Linked DNA regions of Mytilus edulis. The protein of the gene in region 1 interacts with the protein of each later gene in a biochemical or structural test. Links are inferred from orthologs where the notes say so. Each region holds a gene or a part of one and is shown on either strand. Other genes may lie near its edges.

Region 1 (7,536 bases):
CACAAGGCACGGGCTTATTTGTCATAGTCCGCGGAAATACTTTATTTAGAATTTATTGTAAAATATTTATAACTATTAAGATATCCTGCACAAGGCACGGGCTTATCTGTCATAGTCCGCGGAAATACTTTATTTAGAATTGTTAAAAAAATACATCTCGGTCATCATGCTTGCGGGTGTTCCAATGAGCATACAGTTCGCCGAGAGATAGTGAACAAAATGATGAAAAGCATAGCTCTTGAAAATCATTTTGTACATTATTTCAAGCCAACTAATGTTTATCGGGTGGAATACAGAGCTCGTGACGGGGTACATTTCACTGTTCAAAGAGGGTTACCGTGCCTTCTAAGTAGCTTTGAGGAAGTCGGTCAGTTGGTTTATTAACAAAGTTAGCAAATGAACTGAAATATTTTCTCAATGTTTAAGAAGAAGAAATTTTTTTTTAACATCGAATGACTAAAATAATCCAAAAGTTCTTGCATATTTTTAATTTTAAATTATAATTTGCCAGAAGAAAGCTTTTTTACAGGTGAAGTACTGGAGAAAACTTTGTTTAATAAAACTAGCCTATTTTTGTTAATTATGGTTTTGATATTTCAACTGTTATTTATTTTCTTTGTTCCTAAAAATTATTCTTATTTTATGTTCCTTTTCGTTTGGTTTTTTTTTGTATCTTTTTCTTATTTTAATTAATATAATTGATCTGCATTTGGGGGATGGGGTAAAAGGGGTCCGGATCTGGAAATCCCTGGCTTAAAAACATGAAGTCCCAAGGTCCCGAATTTAAATAAATTTAAATCCTAAATTAATATAATTGATCTGCATTTGGGGGTAGGGGGTAAAAGGGGTCCAGATCTCGAAATCCTGGGCTTAAAAACACGAAGTTCTTAGGTCCCGAATTTAAATAAATTTAAATCCTAAATTAATATAATTGATCTGCATTTGGGGGTAGGGGTAAAAGGGGTCCGGATCTCGAAATCCCGGGCTTAAAAACACGAAGTCCCAAGGTTCCGAATTTAAATAAATTTAAATCCTAAATTAATATAATTGATCTGCATTTGGGAGTAGGGGGTAAAAGGGGTCCGGATCTCGAAATCCCGGGCTTAAAAACACGAAGTCCCAAGGTCCCAAATTTAAATAAATTAAAATCCCGACATCGCGAAAAAAGAATTTCCAGATCCCGAAAGGGTTAATCCCGAAATCCCGAACTTAATTGCATAATATTAATTTACGCACAACCATGTAAAAAAAGAAACTTGTATGTTATATTTTTTATAGCAATCTAAAAGAGAAAATTGCCGTGAAAAGACAATTCCATGATACACATATCAGTGATCAACAGCGTGTGCACGTGGTTGAACTTTAACTTGACTCCACTCACAATAATATTGAATGCTAATAAAAGATATTAAAGATCGATTTTGTCCACTACACGAGATTTTTATAAGGCGGGAAATGTAACAGTAAACACAGGTGACCTTACTGACCGACCGTGGGAAAATTCATTCATGATTAAATTTGATGTGGAATGATTGACAGTATTGTGCTTTAGTTTTGAGGCTCTTGATCGATTTACCAGAATAGAAATTTAATCGATTTACATACATGTATAATCAAAGCACGATTTAGTCGTCTTTAACTATTTTTTGTTTTATTTTTATCAGTCATTTCCCGGATTCCCATTTATCCATAAAAATAAGTCCCTACCCGTACTGTAATGCAGCCTTGGTAAACCAAGACAGTCACAAGCCTGTTTAATGCAGTGTCCATACCGTAATATAATTTCATTATCTCTTAATGATTAATTATGTAATGGGCACGTGTCAGTAAACAACAACCGAATTAACAATATAACAGAAGTGTGAGGTAATGATTATTTTGTTTATTGGAACATATTAACTCATTATCACTACTAAATTATATATTTGGTACTGAACATTTCACTATTAAAACTTATTCAATGTATGAAAATAAAGGAAAATAGCAATAAAAAAAAACGTAAATACTAATTTTAGAAGAATATTATTTCTGATTTTTTAGTAACTAATAAATTAAGTAAATTTAATACATTTTAAATGAAATAAGAAATAAATGAAATATAATAAACTTAGTGAAAGATTGTCTTCTTTGAAATTAAAAATTAAAAATTTTATTTTATTCTTCTTGTACCATGTTTTTTATACAACATTATAGTTACTTGTAAAAACATTTATATTTGCCAATGAAAATCTTTAATTTAGTTTTGAGAAAATTTTGTTAGAACAAACATACGAATCATCCATTCAGAAGCTTTGTTTTTATTAAAACAATCAAGTATAATAATTTTTTAATTAAATTTGAATTGAATATGTGAAAATTCTTAATTACATTTTATTTAATGTTGAGTAAATTGTTATGAAAAGTAATTAGTGATTGGAGTAATTGCATTGCTTTGATGTACTGGTTAAATTTTCAAATCCTTTCTGAAAAACAATCATTAGACAATTCTCTGTATATACAGTAAAATATTTAATACTATATTTTCATAGCGTTTTCCTTTAAAGGCATATGCAATCTTTCTTTTATTCATTCCGTACGATTTCCATGGTCGCCATCTTGGAAGTACACACCGATATCCATTAATTTATAATGATCAATATTAACTTACCTGCAACTTGTAAATCATTTTTAGGTTATAACTGTATAATTTACACTTCTAATATAATTTTATTCAATAATATATGTTTAAAAGTCACTCAAATGTGTTAATATTGATATTTGAAGAGTTATTCGGTCATTACATGTGTTATTCGGATAATAACAGTGTTATTCGGTCATTCGAGGTACCGTCTAATGGCTATAGCTGATATATTGATTGATGAGGCTGTTTTTAAGCTCAGGATTTCAGGATTGACCCTTTCAGTATTTAAATTTATCTAATTCAGGACCTCTGGATTTCGTGTTTGTAAGCCCAGGATATTGTGAATCAGGACCCCTGAACTCGGAGAATCAAATAAGAAAGTTACTAATCACATGGCAAAATCTAAAGACAAAACACATCAAAATCGAATGTACAAGAAACTATCATATTCCCGACTTGCTACAGGCATTTTCAAATGCAGAAAATGGTGGATTAAACCTGGTTTTATAGCACTAAACCTGTCAGTCTCACTTTGTTGACAGTCTCATCAAATTCCGTTCTATTTACAATGAAACCACTTTCAACACTATTGCTATTGTTTTCAGACGAATGACATGAATTTTACTTTGATTGCCTGTAGGTATGGAATATAACTTTTTATAAGATTACAGTTTCGTATACCTGTGCGATTTATTCACTTTCTTCTTGTTCAACTTTTCAACAAAACCAAAATGCCCGCTAAAATTGAGTTTCTCTTGTTACTTCCCTTTGTATTTTGGAACACTGGACAACTCGGCCCGATGAAAACTCGGACCGACTAGTAAGTTAACTCGGACCGTACAATTTAACCAGCACAGCCAAATCGTAGGCAGGCGCGGATCCAGAAGGGGGGGGAGGGGGTTCCTGGGGTTGGACCCCCTTTTTTTGGACGATCAATGCATTTGAATGGGGACATGTAATTGGAACCCCCCTTTGTCCTGGGTTAGGAACCCCCCTTTTTAAAATGGCTGGATTCGCCCCCGGTAGGGTCCTACTAAAATGCGCCCGGGGAAAAGAAAAAGCGCCCGGGGAAGAAAAATTAGCGCCCGGGTGAAAGAAAATGCGCCCGGGGAAAATATATAGATATTTTATTGGCATGAGACAACTTTGTGTCGATGAAATACGTTATGTACATTGATTTTTTTTTTATATTTTAGACAAGTAATTTGAAAATTCAGATAATAGGCATTTATAATAAAGCACAAAAACAAGTATGAATTTTTCAATTTTAACAATAATATATAAATACTATTTCGAAAGACAGATAATAATAGATCACAGTTTTATGAAGAAGATTTATAAAATGTAAAACTTCAAAAGACATGTTTTTCAAAAACAACATTAAAATGAAAAATGTAAAAAAACAACTTAAATTTCACAGATAAATATCTAATCAAAATTAAAAGAGTTACACATAATAAATCAGCAAATAAAGTAGTACTATACATGTACAGTAGTTAAATGAAGGGGGTAAAAAGCATGAGTTAAAACTAAGCATTAAAATCCTGATAAGCATAGACATTAAAACAGTCAAAGTTTTAGTTTTATAAAAAGATATAAACAACACTTTAGATGTAGCATCGTACATATCCCCATTTATATAAAGGACATAACAAGCAAAGATTTTTTTTAAGGAAAATATTCATTGTTATAAAATAGTATTATTTTATTCTCCCGGGCGCTTATTTTCCTTCCCCGGGCGTTTTTTTTCCCGGGCGCTCTCGGGCGCTCCCGGGCGCTTTTTAATAGGACCGAAATCGTAGCGTCCGTAATGCCATTTTAAGTATTAGGGAACAGTCATTATTTACCAGCTGGGGGGTTGGGTAATTTTTTGGGGGGTCAAAATATTTTTGATGAACATATTGGGGGGTTCAAAAAAATGTTCCAATATTAAATGGGGGGGGGGGGGGTCAATTTTTTTCAAACAGAATTTTCAACAACTACAAAATTTTATGTTCTCCTTTCTTGACACTGTGGAATTGCTTTTTATATTTGTTATCTTGGTTCATGTATACATGCTTCTAATATTAAATAGGTATAATTGGATTTATAGCATCAATGACTAGCACAAGAGGATATACCACATGGGAAGTTAAATAGATATAAATTAGTATGACAAATATCTGATGTATTTATGACTGTGGTTCTGCATCAAAAATAAATACTGACATCTGATTAGTATCAGATAAGTGTGATACAATCAAGCAATAATCTTTGCCTAATTATACATTTAATCTGAATGTCTCACCCTTTTAATACATAATAGAGCATGAAATAGTGACCTATTCCAGCTGCCCTGCCATCCCTACAAATCAGTTACATAGTAAGTGGCCTCTTTGGGAGATAATATTGACTTTAAGCAATTTGTTTATCAACACAGTCTTATTTTAATTAAAGATGGATAGAGAAAAGAACGAAAATGCTAAAATATTTCAACGTAAGCCTTATATAGAAAAAACGATTTTAAAAAGAAAACTTCAAACAAAATATTGTGAAAATGATATTCGGATTTCTTTCCAAACATGCTCTACATTTTTTGAAAATCGACAAAAATTAAATGGATACATGTATGAAGCACAAAACTCCAAGTTTGATTTTCGTTCTCTGCTGGCATTACTTGCTGTTTTAGATCATCTTGAGTGCAGCACACTTATAGAATTCCAAAATGCTTTTGAGATTTATTCATCTTATTTTGAACATCAACCAGATAAAAATGTTTTTCGGGACAAGATATTGGATGTTGATAAAGGACTAGTTTGCTGTTATTCCATGCACCCTTTTGATAAAGTAACATACATTTTTTTTGCGGCAGTGTAATGTTTCAAAGAAAGAATTGTTTCTTAATTTGATAGTATCAAATGATGAATTTACATTTATTTCCAATATCAATGGATTACAATACATATGTAAAAATACAGTTGATAATGAAACAAATAACATTGATATTGATCAAGTTTGTAACATAGGGGTAAAACTTGCAAAAGCTCTCTTTGTTTTATTTGAAAAAAATGTTTTTACACACACAGCCAAGTGTCTCATCCTTGAAAATGTATGTGACAGTGTTGAAGAGAGATACTGGGCGTTGTATGAAAGCAGTCATGAATGTTGGAGACAGGGAGAGTGTCGAGATGAAAGCGAGAAAGATTCAGATGAAAGTGAAAGTAACAGAGAAATGAGTGATCATATGGAAGATGTGAGTGAAAGTGGTGAAGAAGTTGTACAAGAATAGGTTAGTCATGTTTAGTTGTTTATATCTAAAACTTGTTATGTTGTGTAAATATGTTTATAAATGCATGTTTTCATCTTACAATAAAAATATGCTGTTAATTAAATGGTTTAAATCATTGATAAATAATAGCAGCAGATGGGGGGGGGGGGGGGGGGGGGGGGTCCAAAGTTTTTTATTAACTACATTTGGGGGGGTCATTTTTAAATTTACAATATGACTGGGGGGGTACATTTTTATTTTGTTCATTTCGCTATGAAATTCCCCCCCCCCCCCCCATCTGGTAAATAATGACTGTTCCCTTAACAGATACATCAGTTTGGGAAAGATACAAATTTGTTAACGCATACATATAATCTATTAAACCTAAATTGTTTCGTTCTTTTAAACAGTATAGTTTATTTCAGCGGAATCATAGTTGTGTTTTACCTTTAAACTTTTATAAATGATTCTGAATTATCTACTGAACAGGAACATAGATATACTGCTCCCAGATTAAAATGAATGTGTAAAACCAGGGGCGGATCCGGCCATTTTAAAAAGGGGGGTTCCCAACCCAGGATAAAGGGGGGTTCCAGCTATATGTCCCCATTCAAGTGCATTGATCGGCCAAAAAAGGGGGTTCCTACCCCCGGCACCCCCACCCCCTGGATCCGCCAATGAAAACATATCGTTTAACGTATACATGTGCAATACTAGTATTTGGAAATATCTTATAAATATCAGGAAAATGCATTGAAATTAAAAAATATATTTTACAAAATATATAGAGTTTTTTTTTTTTTTATTAATTTGACATAAAAATCAATTAAAATTTTGAGAAACCTCTGATACCTCAATCATGTTCTACCAGACTAATTTATAAATCAGTACACATCAAACTGATCTATAGCTAGTGTAAAGAACATATTTATTTATACTGGATTTGGAAACAAGTTTTTGCAACTTATATTAATTCCTTTCCACTTTGCGGGTGCGAGTACTGCCTTGTAGCGGCATTATCGCACGCTTTTTCGAAATCTACAAGGGTGTCTTTAACGTGCAAGAGTATAGCTCTATCTTAATTAACATGGGTAAGCTATTTTTCGTCCCCTTCCGACGGACTATCATCGTTTCCTGGAGACCATACTCGCAAATGGTGTCAAGGACCGGAGAGCCGAAAATTCAGTCCCTGAAATTCTCATCCCAGACGAGTAACCTTTGTGTTAGTAGTCCAATGCACTAACCACTACACCACGGCTCTCACGATATAAACAGTCCGAATCCGATTATATGTTTCTCACTTTTTTCTGTTGGTTTGAAATTAAAAAATGTTTTTTTTTGAAAGATTAATAGAAAGATAAACTTTTGTTGACAGCTTATTGAAAATCATCTTAAAAATTACCAGAATAAGGTGACACGAAGGGGACTTCGGAATAGAAACAAATAGCCATTTTTAGTCTATTCCAAACCGTCAGATAACACCTCGACAAAATTGGGCATTCGTTTGTTTGTGCAATATGTATAAATACGCAGAGAGACGTTAAATCCACTGCCACGTGTAGTGAAAGAATGTCATGCTCCAAACAAGTCAAGAACACTTGCAACAATTCTTTGAGAGGTTGGTGGTCTTCCCAAAGGAAAATTTTCAATCCATATCTAATATAACCTT
Region 2 (7,969 bases), on another chromosome or scaffold:
GTTTGGACTAAACAAATGACCTCACTAGAATAAAATACAAAATTGATCCGTATCTCACCTTTAAACAATAAAAATAAATACTAAGAAATTTCTTGATTTTAAAGGGAAGTAATTTGATCATCACTTAGGTAAAGGGAAGTAATTTGATCGGGATGTAATTTGTTCATAGGTACAATGGCACTGTTCAATAGTGTACACTCAGATTGTAACTTATCATTACAAAGTAACATTTTAAAACGAAGACATCACTGCATGTACTACTGTTTAAAATACCTAAAAGTATATTTTTTGTAATTTATTTGTATGTCAAAGTTTAACTTTAACTTAGCAGTGCATGCAGTTGTGAAAGACTTGTGATTACATTTTTGTCTTTATGTCATTCTAGCATAAAAATGTATTACCATATAACATACCTATACTTTGAAAAGATAGCATAAAGCTTTCATTTATTGAAAATTTGTTTTACTCAATGATATAAAGCATACACATTTCAATCTTTTATACCATTACCTGTGCATACACATATTTGCCAACTGAGCCTGTGCAGCGACAAGTCACTCTAAATGTAAAGTCTAACTTTTCTTTTTTCTTTACAGGTTCTTCAGGGTTTTCTCTATTAGGACTACAACTTCTTTTAACTGATTTTGTTGATCCTAGAGATTGTTCTACCTTCAACAAACCACTTTCTGATTCACTTTTTGGGGTTTCTGTCAGTTGATCTTTTTTCTCAGTGACAGACATGCTTAATCTTTCAGGTTCTTTTAAATCAACATCATGCTTATCACATTCAATGTTTTTTACATCATCCGAAATGCTTTTCTTTTCTGTAATAGGTACATGTAAGTCTGCTTTGTTTGTTTCCACAGAAGCAACTGGTTGTATGTCCAATCTATCATGCTGAATATCCATAGGTTCATTTTGCTTTTCTATGGTGGCTGGGCCTTCTTTGTTTAAAACTTCGACTAATGTATCTGTATTTGTTGTTGTAGGCTTAATGCTTTCTAATTTCTGTGAACAATCGATTGATGTTTTCTCCAAGACATGAGAACATGTAGAAGTTGATTGATGTTTTGAATCTGGAGAACTCTCATCTATCATGGCTGTGTTCTGGACCTGTAATACTTCATGAGGGATCTGATGAATGACAGGATCATTCCATATATCAGCATTCATAATAGCACGTCTCACATGAACATAGGAAATTCTATCATACTGCTTTTCTACAAAATGTGTTATATATTGTAATCATAGGGAAAATTATATAAGAATGAATTGACTGAAAATTATGGTAATTCAAATTTCATATTAGATGGCATTCAATAAATGAATCTAACACATTTCTCTGTCGTTCCAATCCTAAGGCAAAAATGATCTACTTTTTCAAATTCAAATTCAACTTAGAATTTGCATCAAATTTTCATACAAATAATGTTGCTTATTCCTTTTCCTGGATTGACATGATTGAGGAAAATGTGTTGTTTCATGGATATTTAATTTCTTGGTTTTGCCAAAATATGCATACTAAAAGACAATCCTCTGTAAAACTTTTAAATTTGTGGTTTACTTTTAGCTATGAATCAAAAAAATCTTGTTCTAATTTTCAAATGATCAATAGTCATGGAAGTTCTATTGGACATAATTGTAAAATAAAATTGAGAATGGAAACAGGGAATGTGTCAAAGAGACAACAACCCAACCAAAGAATTTTCAACGGCAGCACAGTTCTTGCATAAATTGACTTGTTATATATTATCTAATTGTAAGAAATGGCATGTAAACAGTCCTTTTAAGGTTCTTTTTATCCTTTGAAAGTTAGTTTAAGATCTTAAAATGATGAATTTAAAGGCACGCACAATATATTACAGCAAGGTCAAGATGTTCAACAAGCCGAAAATTAAAATGATCTTTCATTTGCAGTAATAATTGATGGTTATCATGGTTATTTTTTAACTAACATAAAAGTATAGAAATTTGTATATCAAAACTTGTGAAATTTTCTCGCCTTGTTCCAACCATGTCAAAAGAATACATGTACCTACTTTTGTTTATTTCTCGTATCGTCTTCCAATCCAGTTGTAAGATATGTACAAATATTCTTTCTACTGATCTCAGTGTTACAATCTGCTGAATCTGTGAGATATTGGCATCAAAATAAACTTTACCATCAGAGACAACAATCTATATAAATGAAAAGAAAAAAAACATCACAATAATCTGGGAATTCTATCATTTTCAGTCCAAACTAAAAACTGTGAGCACTGAATTTTCAAAGGATTCAATAAAATAATAGTCTCTTCAAAGAAATCTGTAATATTACCAATTGGTTCCAAGGCATGTTAGCAGTATTTCTTAGATAGGGCCACACCAATTTAATATCTTGTTCTACGGATTTTCTGCGAAGCTTGAAAAGTAAAGGCGAGCGATTATAATTTTTTTTTGTAAACATAAAATAGTAGGTTTTGACAATATTAAAACTTGATTTATCACTTGTTCTTTGACATTTCTTTAATTTCTGAAGTAACTTTTCCCTGTTCACCAAGAAATAATTAAATCTGGTCTATGTATGTGCGACTGACAATGAGACAATTCTCCATCTAAGTCATAATCAGTTTGGGGGCAACCCCTTAATGTTATAAATATCCCTTTTACATATTTTTTGAGGGATCAATATAAGTTATAATATATTTGTTTGTACTAAAGGGCTCATGTTTTCTCAAAGAACTATATATTATCTATCTCGTATTAAATGGTCAAACATGTCCAAGAATTTTGTAATATTCCTGGACTTTTTAACACATTTACTTTAACAGTTTAATATTATTCAAAATAAGTGGACCCCTCTTTTAGAAAAAGTTGTTTAAAATATGATGTAACTCTCCTCTTTTTCAGTACAAAATTCTAAGTTTTCAAAGGTTTTGTATAGAAGAACTATACAAATCCTTGGTATTTCTGTTTTCTTTTCTACATCAGTAAAATGACCCTTTGTCAAATACTTGTCTGAGGGAGACCTGGGAGGGTTGTTCTCAAACTGATAATAACAAACACATGTAAAAGTACGACCTTTTACACAAGGCTTTGATACAGACCAAACAGCAAGCTATAAAGGACCCCAAAATTATTAGCGTACACAATTCGAACAGGAAACCCAATGATCTAATTTATATATCCAAACAGGAAAATACCAATGAACAACATCAACAAACGATAACTGCTGAATGACAGGCCCCTGAATCAATCAGGACAGGCGCTTAAACATGCAGCGGCTATGGATAGTTTTGTTTCGCCAGCATACAATATAATTGCAGTTGAAGGCAAATCCTTCAGAAGTTCTTTGTACTTTATTCTAACAACGAACATTTTTTGATAGGGAATATAAGTAAGGGGGAAAGAAACCAATCTTTTGTTCTTTACAGGTATTTCCGCTGTTATAAATTTATATCGAGCACTCCCACTTTGGATAAATAGGTTTAATGCTGAAACAAATATTCTCACAGATATTTACACAGTGTGGTGAACTGGTGGTGTGCTTTTATGTGTAAAATCTTATATATACAGGTTAGACTGTGATTTTATAAACAAATGTTGATATCTTTTTATAATATTTACAAAAAAAACGGTGCAGGAAATGGGCATGATTACATTTCCGGATGCGGGAAGCGGGAATATAAAAAAAAATAAAAAATTCTGTTTTGAAAAAAATAGGTGCAGGCGGGTCCGTCGAACAAGGAATCAAATTAGTGTGGCCTAGGCTAGTAAAACTTAAAAAATCGTAATTCTAATATATAAATAATAGAAAAATAAGATTATAAAGAAGACTTTCCAGTGTGTGCTTTTTCCCCCGAAATTTCCTATGTAACAGAAAGAACTGATACACCATATTGATATTTGACGACACTTTGGAAACCACAAACACTGGCGGATCTAGACATTTCCATAAGTGGGGCCCACTGACTGCCTAAGAGGGGGCCCACTCCAGTCACGCTTCAGTGATTCCCTATATAAGCAACAAATTTTTTTCCCAAAATGGGGGGCCCCAGGCCCCCTCCCCCTAAATCTGCCTCTGACAAAGGTCCTTATAAAATTTGACGTCATAATACCAAATATATGACGCCACAACATGCACAATGGAAACATGATTGTTGTGTGATGTGTCTTGTGTACATATAAATAAGTCAACAATGTATGGTACTCTAATTTGATACATGCTAAACCCATGACATTGTAAAGAGTGTGGTAAAGGGTTATTTTAGTGCAACACTTTTTGCCATTTTTATTTCACGTGCAGCCGTGAAAAAGGCTTGTTATTCCCTGTGTTTCGTGAATCAGTAAAAAGACCAACATGCAGGACAATTTTAATTGTTCGTTTAAATGTTTAACGAGAAATGAATTAGTTTTATTTATTTTTTTATTTTTATTTTGCGTTCATCCATGCAGTTGCCCTCCCTTTACACCCCTATATAAATCTGAGTGTGTTTTACATATGTTTAAAGAGATTTCTAAAATAACTTTAGTAAGAAATGCATGTAGGATAGATAGTTTCTTTGTGTTGTTGTACAAATCTTTTAATATCTTCATATACATTTTGTGCTCTCAGTTTTTTCTCTAATTCTGTTTTAATGAACTTTTCTGTTCCTCTTCCTCCAGTGCAATAAAATCTTATCATGTTGGAGATAGAGATGGCGGGAAGACGTTATATATCGTATATGACTTTTTCTTTAAATTATATGAATACGCTCCATAGAGCTCCGAATGTACCAGGAAGAAAAATACTTTGGAAAAAAAACCGGAAATAATCTTCCGGAAATTGCGCATGTCATCTGCTCTGGAATTACGCGCGAAATGGAAAAAGTGTAAACAACGAAAACTTAGAAAACAGTCTAGTTATTCAAATGGAACAAAGTATTCACACGGTAATATATAAAAAACGAAAAACAAAATAACCCATGGTAGCTTTATTTGTTTGTACCAAATTCCCTCTTTTTAAGGCTGATTTTAACCTAATAAATTTACAAAAAATTATTGGTTCACAGCACACAGGCACTTGTTTCTGTCCATGGGAAGATCCGTTGATAGTGGGTCTTCTCATGGATATAAACAGTAGCCAAGGAGCAGTACACTGCATATCCAGAGGTGGATTTATGTGGAAAAAAGGGGGGGGGGGGCTGCAGGATGTTCAGATAAAAGATCATGAATTGTATTGATATTATAAAAACTACCAATCCAACATACATCGTTTTAGTTTTATTCCGTCATATTTCTTATATATAATGAGACAAAAAATAACATGCATCCTGGGAATCGTAACCATGAAGTAGGAGAAAGAAACCAGAATGAATAGACCCAATACCTTTGGGCCCCATAAGCCCCCTTTGAATATACTTGATCGTCATCTGATATTTAAATCTTGATATAGGAGTGGTTCTAATTTTGTATTTTTCAAAACGCCTCTTAAACAACTCAATTTTCTCTGACTTTTATTTATATAATTTCCATCTGCATTGTCCCCCTTCCATACACCTTATCATTAATACTATTTGTCTGCCATTTCTTGACATTGCTAAGGTTCCTGTGAAATTTTGAAGTCACAATAAAAAATATCAAATGCCACAATGATAAAGTGATTGTTGTATGACATCAAAGTTCTTAGGCGAAGATTCTCTGGTTAAGCAGAACAAATCTCCCAATAGGGATAATGTGTCTAGTTAAATCAAAAGTTTATTTACTGTCTAATATGTATAATTGTTCAAATGATGATTAAAAAATAAGGACATTGCTATAATTCAAAAATGGTGAATGCCATTTCAAAAGTAAGATGAATTTTAAAGGCATTAATTACCTACAATGTTCTAATGTATGTATGATAGTGTATGGTTAATAATTGTAGGAATCAGATAACATTCATGCGGATGAATTGAAACTGGAAGACAAAAGTGATAAAGCTGATTCAGGAATGGATGAGGATAGTCAGCCATTTAATGAACAAGGTTAGAACAATGTGGTATCAACTAATAGTATCTTTACTTGAGTGTGTACAAATGAAGTGACTGATATCTATGTCATTTGGTCATGGATGTATTAAGATTGCAATGAAATATAATTCAGATGTAATCCTTATGGGAGATTTTAACATAAATTGTTTACAACCCAATAAAATACCACAAACATGACAAAGATGGTTAATTGCTCTAGAAACTCATAACTTTCAACAGGTAATTAAGGAACCAACTAGAGTAACAAATGAATCAAAAACTTTGATTGACCATATATATGTCACCAGTTTAAGCATGGTTAAAGAGGCTCATGTTTCTAAATATTCTATTAGTGATCACTACCCAATATGTATGACAAGACAACAGAAATTGTGTGATAAAAAACATTCTCATTCAACAATCACTTATAGAAATTTTAAGACTTTTAATGAGAAAAATTATTTAAAAGATTTTAAAAGTGCACCTTTTCAACATATTGAATTTGAAAATGATCCATCTGTTTGTATTGAAATGTGGTACAACATTTTAAATAAACATGCCCCTATTGTGAAAAAGAGGGTAAAAAAAGACAGACAGCCTGAATGGTACAATAAAGAAATCTCATATGCAAGAAAAATGAGAGATAAATATCACTCACTGGGAATGTGGCCTGAATATAGATTCTGGAGAAACAGAACAAAATATATCATTGATACATCTAAACAGAAATATTATAATGATATGATAAAAGACTCAAAAGATTCTAAAACACTATGGAAATGTATTCACAGCCTAAATCCATCTAATCCTTCAAAACCACATGAACTTATTACAAATGGAGACCATAAAACAACTGACCATAAAGAAATTGCTAATACGTTCAATAATTATTTCACCTCATGACTTGTTGAAAAATTAAGGCATAGTAGGGCACCAAGCAACTCAAATTTTAATACTCTGACAAACTACAATGTATGTACAAATGAAATTCTTGAAAAAAAGGCATAATAAATTCATCATTCCTCCAGTAAAAGTTTCAGAACTATTTGCTGAAATAACTAAACTAGATGTTAAGACATCTTCTGGTTCTGACAATATAGGTCCAAAGATTTTAAAACTTAGTGCTCCTTTCATAGCATCTTCCTTAACATACATTTTTAATTGAATGATTGATACTGGTATTTATCCATCTGTTTTAAAAAATGCCGAAGTAGCTCCAATTTTCAAATCTGGTGAAAAAAATGTAGAGCTCTAGCAATTACAGACCAATATCTGTTTTGCCAACATTATCAAAATTAATTGAGAGACATGTATCTAAACATCTGTATAAATATTTGACAAAGTTTGATAATTTACACCCTTCCCAGTCTGGTTTTAGACCCAACCATTCATATCAAACTGCCCTCATTAATACATTTGTATTGATAAATGGCTACATGAAATGAATAATGGAAATATCAATTTGGCAGTCCTCTTGGATTTTAAGAAAGCTTTTGATGTTGTTGATCATGAAATTCTATGTAAAAAAACTTCTAATTTATGGCTTCCATGAAGATACTGTTGATTTTTTAAAATCATATTTGAGTGAAAGAACACAGCAAGTCCATATAAATAATCAGTTTTCTGATAAAAAGTTTATGAATTTTGGTGTTCCACAGGGCTCAATACTTGGTCCCATTTGTTTGTTTTGTTCATAAATGACCTTCCATTACACATCAAAAACTGCCATACAGACCTGTATGCTGATGACACAACTATGCATACATCAGGAAAGACTATTGGTGATATGCAATTAAAAGTACATTTGTACAAGATGATCTCCAATGCGTTGAAAAATGGTGTCATGAAAATAGCATGTTCATAAATTCGGATAAGACGAAATGTATGGTTATAGGTACAAGACAAAGGCTGCGTTTAAATCAAGCAGAACCAGTTCTAACTATTGAGAATAATATTCTTCAAAAATCATTAATTGAAAAACTTTTAGGTGTTAGAATTGA

Evidence for each region.
Region 2: of the proteins of cell division cycle 7-related protein kinase-like (region 1) and claspin-like, one has a biochemical effect on the other in vitro, tested with the Homo sapiens proteins (3 studies listed by BioGRID, with this or other methods). The link is inferred for Mytilus edulis from reciprocal best matches to the Homo sapiens genes CDC7 and CLSPN.

What each region holds. Positions count from the first base shown.
Region 1 is NC_092357.1:43,430,600-43,438,135, reverse strand, and holds the start of cell division cycle 7-related protein kinase-like, read right to left. Parts: upstream 3,416-7,536; 5' UTR 3,302-3,415; intron 1-3,301. UniProt on the Homo sapiens protein: Kinase involved in initiation of DNA replication. Phosphorylates critical substrates that regulate the G1/S phase transition and initiation of DNA replication, such as MCM proteins and CLASPIN.
Region 2 is NC_092346.1:40,924,609-40,932,577, forward strand, and holds the start of claspin-like, read left to right. Parts: upstream 1-4,751; 5' UTR 4,752-4,889; coding exon 4,890-4,910; intron 4,911-5,884; coding exon 5,885-5,984; intron 5,985-7,969. Other genes in the region: THUMP domain-containing protein 2-like, read right to left, coding at 511-1,220, 2,040-2,178, 4,580-4,663.